2 linked regions of the Arabidopsis thaliana genome follow. The protein of the gene in region 2 interacts with the protein of the main gene of each other region in a pairwise test. Each region holds a gene or a part of one and is shown on either strand. Other genes may lie near its edges.

The links.
Region 1: the proteins of AT4G11380 (region 2) and alpha-ADR interact in a protein complementation assay, tested with the Arabidopsis thaliana proteins (one study listed by BioGRID).

What each region holds. Positions count from the first base shown.
Region 1 is NC_003076.8:7,585,323-7,590,371, reverse strand, and holds the start of alpha-ADR (alpha-adaptin), read left to right. Parts: upstream 1-2,049; 5' UTR 2,050-2,345; coding exon 2,346-2,471; intron 2,472-3,213; coding exon 3,214-3,345; intron 3,346-3,696; coding exon 3,697-3,822; intron 3,823-4,035; coding exon 4,036-4,098; intron 4,099-4,180; coding exon 4,181-4,278; intron 4,279-4,358; coding exon 4,359-4,566; intron 4,567-4,764; coding exon 4,765-4,836; intron 4,837-4,916; coding exon 4,917-5,009; intron 5,010-5,049. Other genes in the region: AT5G22780 (Adaptor protein complex AP-2, alpha subunit), read left to right, coding at 1-29, 116-272; AT5G22785 (uncharacterized protein), read right to left, coding at 528-656, 667-729. UniProt on the Arabidopsis thaliana protein: Subunit of the adaptor protein complex 2 (AP-2). Adaptor protein complexes function in protein transport via transport vesicles in different membrane traffic pathways.
Region 2 is NC_003075.7:6,918,172-6,926,478, reverse strand, and holds AT4G11380 (Adaptin family protein), read right to left. Parts: upstream 5,991-8,307; 5' UTR 5,872-5,990; coding exon 5,785-5,871; intron 5,588-5,784; coding exon 5,545-5,587; intron 5,475-5,544; coding exon 5,452-5,474; intron 5,318-5,451; coding exon 5,120-5,317; intron 5,003-5,119; coding exon 4,889-5,002; intron 4,764-4,888; coding exon 4,513-4,763; intron 4,199-4,512; coding exon 4,063-4,198; intron 3,914-4,062; coding exon 3,734-3,913; intron 3,638-3,733; coding exon 3,545-3,637; intron 3,459-3,544; coding exon 3,247-3,458; intron 3,160-3,246; coding exon 3,096-3,159; intron 2,999-3,095; coding exon 2,819-2,998; intron 2,723-2,818; coding exon 2,630-2,722; intron 2,477-2,629; coding exon 2,094-2,476; intron 1,976-2,093; coding exon 1,786-1,975; intron 1,705-1,785; coding exon 1,501-1,704; intron 1,335-1,500; coding exon 1,035-1,334; 3' UTR 903-1,034; downstream 1-902. Other genes in the region: AT4G11373 (Serine/Threonine kinase catalytic domain protein), read right to left, coding at 6,716-6,820.

The DNA.
Region 1 (5,049 bases), on a different chromosome or scaffold from region 2:
GGCTCGGGAGATCCTACCCTTACATTTGAGTATGATATATCTGCCTCTTAATCACAAACCCAACCTCGATCACAGATTTTCTTCATTTGCAATTGTTGACCCCTTTTATCTACAGGTTAAAAGAATTCATCAAGGAACAATTAATTACTATTCCAATGGGATCTCGAGCTCTAGTTCCAGCAGCAGGTCCAGCACCATCACCAGCAGTTCAACCGCCTAGCCCAGCGGCTTTAGCTGATGATCCAGGAGCTATGCTTGCTGGCTTACTTTAAATTCATTGGGATAAAAGATTACTTGCACATGTCGAAAAGTTTGTTTTCTGTTATTGTAGAATGTAATGGCGAAAATATGGAATGATGGGAGAGTAAATGTAGAGCCAAGGGAGAGAAAAAAGCTAGTTTTGATTATATTTGTGCCGTTTATCCAAAGCGGGCGGGTTGCGTTAGGTAAGAAATTTTGCATTCATTCTGAACATTTGTATTGTGAGGTCAGTGGTTGTATCAGCTTGTTCTTGTGCCTATATATTTTCAATCTGTTTCTCCATGAGTTTTCTGATGGGAGGTCTGTTTTTTCGCACCAGCCTTCACATTGAGAGATTTTAATGTTGTCATAAAGGGGGGAAATTGCAAAAACACATCCAACGCATAGCATTTCACCTGTAAAAACCTGATCTAATTTGAGGTGTGAATAGAGTGGGGACTTGGCCTTGGTGGGACATTCAACCGACATATATACAACCAGATTTTTACTATTACTTTGAAGAATATAATTGAAAGAAAATTTTTTTTTTACTATTTTTAATTTTCTTACAAACTGCTTATGGATTTAAAAGCTGTTTTATCAATTTTTGCATGATTTTTTTTTGTTTTTACTACATAATTTGTAATTGACAAAAGTATGATTTTTTTATATTACTATATCATTTGTAATTTTGCAAATAAAAAAAAATATAAGAACCCTAGATCCGGGGCTTGTGAAACAAGAGTGATTAAGCAAAATTTGAGTAAGTCTGACTTTTGCAAGTTTGCTTCACCAACATCAATGTCGCTCAAGTTGAAGAAGCAACTTCTCTTAAAGTATCGAATACCCTAAAATTTGTCATGCCTTGAAGAAAAACTCAACCGAGATATTGGAGCTGTTCGAAATACCTAAGAAATCAGCCGATGTTGCTAACGCAAAGGGACAATATCTTCCATAAAACTAAAAATGTTCAATAAGCAGGGCCGACCCAAATCTAAAGCCCAGCAAGCTGATGCTTTATCATCACAATCATATAAAAGCCTTGTAGTTTAATGGTTGGTGCTTCCATTAGTTATATAAGTTTACGAGTTCGATACTCAAACTGCCAAACAACAACATCCTAGGAGCATACGCTATCGCCGTCACTGCTTTTCTAGCTCAACAATTCGTCCTATTCATCGTCTTGTAGATTATGATCTTGTTATGAGACACATTTAGTATTTCAAAAACGAGAGTAGTGACAATACTTTCCTATTCACCAGAGTAATTTGGTTGCAATGATTCTAGCAAAATTGTTATCTGAAATATAGAGTATCTAAAATCTTTATTCAAAAGATTTCATAATACATTGAGTAAAATTATAAAATGCTCATAACAAAAAATAATCAAATCAGCACTGCGTATAAACCATTTGTTTCGTTCCCACTAATACCAACAAATACCATGTCTGACGAAAAAAAAAAAAAAAAAGTTGGGACCAGCTAAACCATTGCATGACCTGACCTGACCCGAATTCATAACCGGATTTTCTCATGGTACATTTTTTTTGTTAAGGATTTTCTCATGGTACATTGAATTACAACTGAATGCATTGACCGCGACAGAAAACAGTCATTTTAAAAATAAATGAAAAAGTGAAACCAGAAACAGCAGTAAATAAATATTACCCAAAAAGGCAGAAGGATACACTTTTTAACAAAATATTACGCAAACTTATAAATCCTCAAATTTAGTCCAAATGTCTAGACGCGTTAATTCTGTTTTTCGACGGGTCAATTTCGGATTCCAATTTCAAAACAGACAAAAACTGAATTACACAAAATTGAATAGTCAAAGTTGTAAATAAAGAAAAATAAAAGTCGTCTCTCGTCTCTCTCCCGCAGGCGTGTCTCTCTTCTCCAAAGATCAGTCTCTCCTTTTGAATTTCTTCGATTGAAGGTGCCATTTTCCGTTTCTAGATTGGGATTTCGATCTCACCTCTCTCGAATTGCTTATGCTTCAGCTTTAGTCTGTGGTTTATCTCGTAGTTAGATCCGGTGCCGCGAGTTTGGATCTGCGCCGTGTGAGGCGGCGGAGCACGGTGGATTTGAGGATTTGGTTCAACCATGACCGGAATGAGAGGTCTCTCCGTATTTATCAGCGACGTTCGTAATTGCCAGAACAAGGAAGCGGAGAGACTACGAGTTGATAAGGAGCTCGGAAACATTCGTACATGCTTCAAGAATGAGAAGGTTACTCTCAATTCTCTCCATTCTATTTTCTATGTTTTGATTCTCATTAGAGAGGTAATTCAGTGTCGAGTATCCGCTGAGGTTTTGGTTTATTAGAGATATTGGAGATTTATCCTTCGCAGTTGCAATGCCAATGCAATCGAATGTTAGAGCTATTAGGTTGATTAGGGAGTTAGATAAGAATGTAGATGAAACAAAGATACAGTCACTGGTCACATGCCGAGTGGATAGTTTTGGAGCTTGTAGTTTCTTACTTTATCGGATTGAGGCAATAAATTTTGATTTAACACCAATTGTGAAAATAGATAGGCAGTATAATGTTGCCGTTGTATAGCTAGCTCAAATCCTTGTAGATTAGCAATTATTCTACCTTTTGAAACATCACTACTATTGCTTTCAACTTGGAATTTCATTACTGAATATATGATGACATTTAGGAACTAGAAGAAAAGAATGGTCTGGCAGTAAATTCGGTTATGTAGTGATGGTCTAAGAAATTAAATCATGGTCACGGAAAATTTTGAATAGCTCATTACGAAGTAGATTAAGCTTTGTTGCTGTAAGAACTTCTGGAGTGAAATTCTTGTTCCATCTTACACGTAGCAGAGCTGTAGCAGGCCTGTAGTGGATCCATGTGTTTCCAGTTGGACCAACATTAAACTTATTCTTTTTCGGGGTTCATGTTAGAAATGAATTAATCAAGAACTCTTTGATTACTTGACATTCTGTTTTATTTTTGCAGGTTTTGACACCATATAAAAAGAAGAAATATGTCTGGAAAATGCTTTATATACATATGCTAGGCTACGATGTGGATTTTGGCCATATGGAGGCGGTTTCTCTTATATCTGCGCCAAAGTATCCAGAAAAGCAGGTAAACCAACGTTTTGTTTGCTCAAACAAAGAAATTTTTCTTTGTAAGGCTAGGAGAAGATAATAGATGGAGGTGTTTGCTGAAATATATTCTATTGATCAAGCTGAAACAAAGAAAGTTTCATTGAAGATCACACAGTTAGATCTAGATACCATTTCATGCGTTTGCAACTTGACTTGACCTGGGAAAGTATTGCAGACAATTACTTATAAGCACGAGTTACTTAGTAACATCTTAGAAACTCTTAACCAGAACCATGCATTGTATCTCAAGGGTTTGTATTTCCAATTTATATTGTTTCATGCTCCTTAACTAATTTGCAGGTATTGAACTTTTCATCCATGATTACAGGTTGGCTACATTGTTACATCTTGCTTGCTCAATGAGAACCATGACTTTTTGAAGTTGGCAATAAATACAGTGCGGAACGATATTATTGGTCGGAATGAGACTTTCCAGTGCCTAGCACTGACCTTGGTATGTGGTCTTTTGTCCACCCTGTATTGAGATTTTAGAGCATAGTTAGGTTCTTCTGATTATAAGATGTTGTTAAATGACTGTTTTAATGGAAGTCTTTGGTACATTATGTCTTTTGTGCTCTATCATTTCACGATTCAGAGCCACTTACTTCATGAAACTGGTCCTTTCTTTCTAGCTTTCTTACCTTGCCATGCTTACGTTCTCCTGTAGGTTGGAAATATCGGTGGAAGGGATTTTGCTGAATCATTGGCACCTGATGTTCAAAAGCTACTTGTAAGTGACTCCTAAAGATGAGAGGTTATATTTTTTTCCAATATTACTAAACATATTATGTTATGGGGTCTCTTTGCTGCAGATTTCTAGTAGTTGCAGACCTCTTGTAAGGAAAAAAGCAGCACTGTGCCTACTGCGCTTATTCCGAAAAAATCCTGATGCTGTCAACGTGGATGGCTGGTGTGTATAACACTGTGGGGTTACTGGTTCTTTGATTTTACTAGTGCATCTTTCATATTCTCTTTGTCGTATACTTCCAGGGCGGATCGTATGGCACAACTTTTGGATGAACGAGATCTTGGTGTCTTGACGTCTTCTACGAGTCTTCTTGTAGCTCTGGTATCTAATAATCATGAGGCGTACTCAAGTTGTCTACCTAAATGTGTCAAAATATTAGAACGCCTTGCTAGGAACCAAGATGTTCCTCAGGAGTACACATACTATGGCATCCCATCTCCTTGGCTCCAGGTTTGACTTAACTCGGCTTATTCACTCTTGTTTAATAGCTTAAATATTCTTTAATCGCATCCTTTTCACAAATCCTGTGCATTTTAAACATTTTATGTGAAATTAGCTTATGAAAATAGAGGCTTGGCCCAGCTTTGGTGTATTTTTGTTACTCAGTTAAAGATATCGTGGATACTTATATATCTTTGGTTAGTACAGGTTAAGGCAATGAGGGCTCTTCAATATTTCCCGACCATTGAAGATCCCAGTACCAGAAAAGCTCTGTTTGAGGTTCAATATTTTCATGTGTAAATCTGTAATATATGTCTTTGAATTTCCTCTCATGGCATGGCATTTCATGGAAATTTCAGGTCCTTCAGCGAATATTGATGGGGACAGATGTTGTGAAAAATGTGAATAAAAACAATGCGTCTCATGCTGTGCTGTTTGAAGCTCTATCCCTGGTAAGTTCGTCGGATAGCTGGGGAAATGTTGATACCATGA
Region 2 (8,307 bases):
TTCCTTCATGTCGAATCACTCTAGTTGATGTTCATCAGTGTCCACTTCCACGTTCACAGTAGATTAATTCCAGTGTCACAGTTGGTCTAACAGCTTAAGCAAGTATCAGCTTTTGCATTAGCTGTCTTACCTCTGTTTTGATTTTGTCTATGATTGATGCAACTCCTTTCTCAATACAATGATGCTCAAATCTCTGTTCACTTTTACAAGTGAAGGTGAAAAAAAATATCTCTTTTTTTTTAATAGTGGAAACCTCTTTTTATACTTGCTTTGCTTGTCATTCTAGTACAATTAGTGAATGGAGTTAAGAAAAGAGAGTTATTCTTTTATCTTTGTTCTTATAATCTTCTTCAAAACTATAGTACCTGGACCAAACGATATAGGTGGAGATATGTTTCCCAACACTCCTCCCACGATAACTTTTGCATGTCCACATATGTCTATCCAAATTGTGTTTAACTTAAGAGCCGATGCCTTACTTTCTAAAAGGATACTACTATGTTTCACTCTGATGCAAACTTAGTGTGGCTAGCATATCCTGAAAGAAACTCCAAATTGCACACTGCATGACAAAACACATGCTTCTGATAGCAATTCTGATTTTAAAATACAAGAATAACCGTCTTTGGTCTCTAGCCCCAAGTGTACCTATCACCTAAAAGAAATGTTTGAAAGTTTTGGCATTGTCCATCACTAGCATCATCAACGGCTCCAATGTAGCTAGATCACTGATTTTCCATGGTGATCTGGTCCTTTGATGGTGTTTGATCTTCCTTATTAGTTCAGAAACCAGCATTTCCCGGATTAAATATCGAAAGAAAAAAAATGTGGTTCCGATACAAGAATTATAAGAAAATAGTGAGCATTACAAATACCAAACTAAAAGGGTGCAACCGGAAGTAACACAAACATGGGATTTATTACATACACTAAACTCAGAAGAAGAAAAAAGGTGGGATATAACGAAACAAGAAAGAATCTCTGAAACCTTTCAGGTCTTGGTCTTATTAGCCTTTTGATAACAACGTTAATCATCAAGCCTTGAAGAGAAGCTCCAAAGCTTCGAAGAAGAGAGGCGCAATCTCGGGAGTGGGAGTTTTCACTGCGCATTTGAGACCTGGTTGGCCCACCATTGCAGTGAGCTCGATCAAAAACGGTACATCTCGTGGATCTTTGGCTGATAAGTAGATCACGTCTTGGTTCCCGTTCTTGCGCTTTGCTATAAAGAACATGTTGAATGCTGTGAGCAATTCGATAGTTGATTCGACGCTCGTGATGGTGATCCCGGGGAATTCTTTCAGGACTTCATTTGAGTCCGGTAACGACCTCCATGTCTGATTAAAAAGCAAACAAAAACTTAAAATCTTTGAAAACATAAAGATATATCCAAATGAAAACCCAAACCGTATAAATTTATCTCTAACCGATTTGGTTTCACAGTCGTCACTATTTTCCTAAACCAGAACCGATATGAACAGCTCAAGTTTTGAAGTATGTTACCTCAAGGAAGGTTCCACGTTCCATTCTACCGTCTTCACCGAAAAGAGCATGAAGTATAATCTTATCGGTGAAGTACCACACGGGCTGCTGGTTGTTTTTGACAGCGACTTGTAAGAGCGAGCTTGGAGGCCCAGCAGACATGTTTTGGAACAAGACCATAGGTAGCATTGTCCTGGCGGATGTTGCGGGATGCAAAGGCGGAATCTGAAACAGTACAGACATGGATATTGGTTTCAATGATTCAGACCTGAGTTTCAGACGTTAATTAGATTCAGATAGAGTTACCTGAAGAGATCCAGCAGCTGCAAGGCCGAATGTGTTTTTGTTGAACTGAATCATGAAACCATCAAGAACCGACTGCGAGTTGTTCTCGAAGAGCATACTGTAAAATACTTGTCCATCTTTTCGGGATAATTGAGCGCTTATCTGCAGACCTTGACCACTTGAAGCTGGGACGACAACGGGCAGAGGAGGACTACGATCAAGTTCATAAGATTTGATGAGTTTCAGTATGAACTAGGCAACCGAAATTGACCTAACGTAATAAACTAGTCCCAACAATAGAAAGTTTCATTAATCAAGACATAACTCACCCAGATTGAGTTATGGGATCATCAACCGGGACAATAGCGGCATTATCCAATCCCATCAGGTCACCTAGCAGATCAGGTACAGGAGCTGGGACCGCTGGTGCTGGTTGTCTTCCGGAAGGCTGTGGGATATTACCTGGAGGAGAAGCTGCACTATCAACCGGATTACTAGATGAGTATCCTGCTTCGCTTCCTTCCGCAAAGTCCTCGTCTTCTGTTTTCTGAACTGTCGTTTTCAAGCGGGTAACAAAAGCCTCTGGGGGTTTGTGGTACACAGAGGACAAGGTCGAAATATTTGTAAGAAGCTCATCAAGAAGTGATGGGTCTAGCTGGTTTGAGTCGTCAGAAATCACGGGCTTTTCAGCTAAGACAACATCCTTGGCAGCCTAATCAAGAGAAATGATGAGTTCAGCCAAATACATCTCAAGAGAAAGCTCAACTGATAAAAATTGCTTGTTGCTTGAATAACCAATCCTGAATATATTCATTCTCTACTGGTTGATTACTAGAAAGCTATAAGAAATCAAGGTAACACACACCTCAGGATCAGTGGATAGAAGACGCCAGTATATGTATGCACGATCTCTGAGATCAGGATTATCCGTCTCCACAGTAGCATTATTCAAGACAACCTGAAAACATCAAGCATAACGGAAAACATGCCTGTCATTACATACATGCTCATGAATCGATCATAAAAACAGTGGTGAGCAAGGAAAAAGCCGAACCTGAATCATTTGTTGAGGGCCTTCAGTTGGCTTCTTCAGGAATAGCTTAACAGTAGCAGTTAGGAGCTGCAACTGGACCTGTGCTGGTTCCTCAGGAAAATTCTCCAGAAAGCTTTCAAGAAGCTCATCGGCATTGTCAATTCTTTCAGCATATTCACCAATGATCCATATCATAGATGCCTTTCAAGTTACCAAAAGATACCGAATTCAGTGATTTAAGATTAAATGAAGATGGTAAATTTCAATTTTCCAAACCAAAATCAAAAAAGTTCAATACCTTAGCTTCTGGTTCATCCAAAGTGTCTAAACTCTCACAGAGTGTTGCAATTATGGACTCATACCTGTATGAAATATTTGAATAGCATAACCAAAATCAAAGAAGAGTTTTAAGATGCCATTTCAACAGTGATTGAGAAATGTCAACTTACGTGTTTGGATATCTTCTGAAGATATCTTTGATGACAATAATGGCCTCCTGGACAACATAATTCACTTTAATCTTGATCAACTCGAGCAAAACACTGATGCACCGTTCAGCTGCTCTCTCTAGTTTGATAGCACATCGGCCTATCGCACGAACAGCCTTTCTAACAAAATCAACGTCTACTTCTGTGGCATACTCTTTGAATTCCAGAAGAACCTAGAGTAGCAATTTTCAAAAATCATAAAGATATGCACCAATAATAATCAAGACACACAGCAGATGGTAGAGCTCAGTGAGGATACCTGGTCTATGTTTCTGTCAGAGGCAAGTTTAATCATAATCTCCAACTTCTCCATCTTAACATAAATTGGGTCGTTATACTTGCAGAAGAAAACCTAAAACAAAAAGAATATCACTTTCAACATAATCAATAAATGCACGGATACATCAGTTGTTTATTCTGAGGAACTATGAGACACAGGTCATGCTACCTTAATTTCATGGGCAAGGATAGTGGGTCGTTTTTGCACAATAAGATTAATGTTACGAAGTGCAACATATTGTATCTCAGGTTCGGCAGAAAGCAATGTAACAAGGGGTGGAGCCATCTTCTTACAAAGATTTCTAATCACGTCTGTACTAGTAATAAGTTCCATTTGTTGAAGGATCATCTGTCAGGCAATTACCAAATATGAAACAGAAGTGAGAACGCAATAGGAAAATATGCAAAGGCATTTGATGATGCCTGATGTTTTACAATCAAGTTTGACGAGCTACCAACTAGAAGTAGAGAGGATAACAATCAATGAAAGTCGCTCACCTTAACAGCTGAAAGAACAACAGCGCAGTTGGCATGTTGCAACCTTGGTGTTACTCTCTCAACAATATTTTCAGCCTCACGGGGATCAGCTGCTTTATACTTCGATAAAGCATCTAGTATAAAAACTTGACCCCACCTGCGATGATCATGGTCAGTACTAAAAATGAAGCTACCAAAAGCTTATCCATTACTCATTTTATGCTTCTCTTCCCCAAAGTTTATATACTGGGTCATTATCTACAGATAAAACCATCAATGACGAAAAATTCTAAACTGCTGTTTGAAAATAGTTACAAAGACAACGGAATGATATCCAAACAGAGGCCATACCACATCAAACAAGCTATTTCACAACCATCAACATCCCCTAAACCCTGACTGGACAATGGGGCCATAAATACTCAAAATCGAACAGAATGCAGTGAAACTACGGAAATGGAGAGGACTTACTCAGTGCATTCATTTAGAGCAGTAAGGAGCTTTGTAAGAGTGGTACTATTGATCTCAAAGATGGGGCTACTACTGTTCTCTTGAATCTCCGCAAGGGCTGCTACAGCATTGGCAACAACCATTGGATTGTTATCTGATATCAAATCCTTCAAGGCTTCAAGGAAACCTCTGTCCTCAACTAATTCAGCATTTATGTCGAAAAGCTTAGCGACGCAAATAGCCGCAGTCTTCCTGACATATGGGTCATCATCCTAAACACAAAAAATATACACAGGATAGTGAAAAGATGGACTAGTCAAGATGAAACAGGTTCTTAAGGGCAATAAAGATGTTTGATATCAGATTCCAATGAAGATGTAACATTAGAAACTCAAACCTTTAGGCACTTTTGAAGAGGATCACATAGATATTCTGTGATTTTATCAACACGAATGCAGCCCATTGTCCGCACAGCCAAAGCACGAATCAGCGGATTTGGATCCTGTGAATCCTGCAGAATACAAACCAATGATTTTGTAATGATCAGTTTATCAGTTCCTTTCCCCTTCAGGTTCAGAACAGAACAAAGGAATGCCACGTGGTTTTGTTTGAGTTGCTTGAGTGTTACCTTTACAAAGGTATTTACTGCAAGAATAGCAAGATCTGGCTGGCTTTTCGCATAATTTATGAGATACAAGTAAACAAGCTTCTTCAACTCCAAATTTTCCGTTTGCATACAATTGACTACATCAGTGAAAAGTGATGAAACATCCTTTCCAACAGTCATCGCCGCAATAACCTTCTTAACTGCATCTTTTCTCTTATCCTATGCAACAGTAAATAAACAACAAGGGTTAACAAAACTGTAGCCAAAGCAGAAAAGAACCATTCCTTCTTAAATCATTAACATAAACTCTTCATCCAAATCCACTGATCCAGATCGAACAAGTTCTGATTCACCAACCTAAGCTTCACTAAAGTTACTACGAGATTGCACACACATCTCCACATTAGCCATTCTCAAAAACCTACCAATTCCTCTCCAATTCTAACCTATATCCCAATCAGTTACTGAAAAATGAACGGAATCATCGCACTTCCCACAAAATCACGAAACCAATTTCAATTCAAAATTCAAAATCCAGAACTACACAGATCTACCAAAATTTGTATAAGGATAACTAAATTACAAGGAGAGAAGGATCATCGACCGAGAGATCGTGAATGTAATAATGGCGGATCACAGATCCACATGGAATGAGACAAGAGTAAGATTAAGAAGAAAAAAAAAACCTTATACTGGGAATTAAGCTCTTCCTTGAGCTCAGGGATCTCTCCCTTCTTCGTCGTGGAGAAGTATTTCGAATCGTGACCACTCATTTCTCTCCTTTCTTCGACCTGACCCGACGATGTTTCTTCTCTGAGATTTTATGAGACAGAGAGAGAGACGTTTTGCACACACAAAAAAAAAAGAGAGAGAGAGACGATGACGGAGAAATGTTGGAATGGAAGACGCCGGTGACGATTTTCTTGGCTAACGGGCCGATTGTTTAGTGGGCTCTCTGATAAAAGTTAGCCCATTTATGAATTTCTCGAGTGTGTCTTTTGATAATTAGTAAAAACTTTGATATTTGGCTAAAACTTTTGAATATTTTCCAATTTACCCCTAAACTTAGGTTTTGCCATAAAACTGGAACTGAACCGAACCGAACCAAAAAAAAAAAAAAGAGTTTTGATTTGGTTCCAGGTTCCAATAAGTATCTTAATGGATCTTAAAGCAAATCCATTGGTGGGTTTTTTATAAGGAATCCTTTAAATTTCTTAATAACAAATATTAATAATTTTGAAGGTTAGAGTTTTTGTCAAGTTTTTATAAATTCTCTTCTCCAAAGGTAGAATCCTTAAATGGGTTTCCTTAAAAAAAAAACTTATGAGATCAAAGCCAAGTAATAATGGGAACCAAAACTGAAACAAAAGAAGAAAAAGAGACTAATGAATGAATGACCTATGAGATCAAAGCCAAGTAATCACAGATTTTCAAAAGCGGTGCAAGACTACCATCAAGCAGTGTTTTCTCAATCTTCAAATCTCTATGACATATTTGCTACATAAACATACAAAAGTGTTGATCTGAGAGAACAAAGAGACTAAAACTGAATGCTTCGATGTTTTATTATCATAGTTGTTTGGCTTTAAATAGCCTAAAGATGAAGACTCAGTCTTCTTACAAATACGTGAAAGAGAAATTGCAGGAACTAACTGAAACAAAACTAAAAACTAGGACAACAAGTTGACACCAAAACACGCGGAGCTTATTCCCACTCTGCAACTAACCAAAGACCAAATCAAACCCAACAAAAAGATTAACAAAACGAAGCAAAGATCTCTCTGTTGAAGATATTGCTACTTATCTTATTTAGAGCACATCAATTAGTTGCTCTTAAGCTTAATGTTGCTTTATGTACTGTTTGTAACCCCTTTTGGTCTTTTCCCTTCTTGTCCCTTTAGGTCTGAAACGCTTTCTCTTTGTATAAGTGTCTGAGAAACACTTAAGCTGCTATCAAGACAAAACCTTATCTTTATCTCTTGTCTCTTGATTTTGTCATGGTATCAGAGCTAAAGCTGGGGTTTTTCATTTGAAATCGATAAAGTTTGAGTTTCTTTTGGAGTAATGGCTGCTCCTCCGGTAATTCCTCTTGTAACTGAAGTCCGGCGAACGATCTCGCCGTATGACTTAACGGTCGCTGATAACTCTGGAGCTGTGATCTCCCACCCGATCTTGAAGTCGACTAATTATGATGAATGGGCATGTGGCTTCAAAACAGCACTGCGCTCACGGAAGAAGTTTGGTTTTCTTGACGGCTCCATTCCACAACCGCCGTCAGAATCTCTGGACCTCGAGGACTGGTTAACGATTAATGCTTTGCTAGTGTCTTGGATGAAGATGACGATTGACCCGGCGCTCTTGACGAATATCTCCCACCGTGACGTGGCTAGAGATCTTTGGGAACACACTCGTAAACGCTTCTCTGTTTCTAGTGGTCCAAAGAATCAGAAGATGAAGGCAGATCTTGCTACTTGTAAACAAGAGGGTATGACTGTTGAAGGATATTATGGAAAACTCAACAAGATTTGGGATAATATCAACAACTATCGTCCTCTTCGAACCTGCAAATGTGGAAGATGTGTGTGTAATCTTGAAGCTGAGCAGGAGAAAGGTAGAGAAGATGACATGGTTCAACAATTTCTGTATGGACTTGATGAAACTCAATTTCATACAATTCGGTCTAGCTTAACATCACGTGTTCCTCTTCCTGGACTCGAAGAAGTCTACAACATTGTGAGACAAGAAGAGGACATGTTGAGCAATAGATACTCTAAGGAAGAAAAGCTAGATGTCACTGCTTTTGCTACTCAGTCTCGTCCACAGATTGATCCTAGTTCTGCAAAGTTCCCCAACAAGAACGTTTGTAAGCACTGCAATCGTGGCGGTCACTCGCCGGAGAACTGCTTTGTGATCATTGGATACCCAGAGTGGTGGGGCGATAGACCGCGAGGACAATCTGGTCGAGGCAGAGGCAAACCCGGTCTAGGCTTTAATGGAGGACAAAATCGCACTCCAACCTCTTATGTGAATGCTGTCACAACTGGCTTAACCACTGTGGAACGGGCTAATCGAGTTATCACTGATAGAGATCGAGATGCGGTGAATGGTCTTACAGATGAGCAGTGGCGTGGTGTACTCAAGCTCTTGAACGCTGGAAAAAGTGATGAAGCCAACATCAAACCCAACGAACAAGGACATGAGACTCTAAC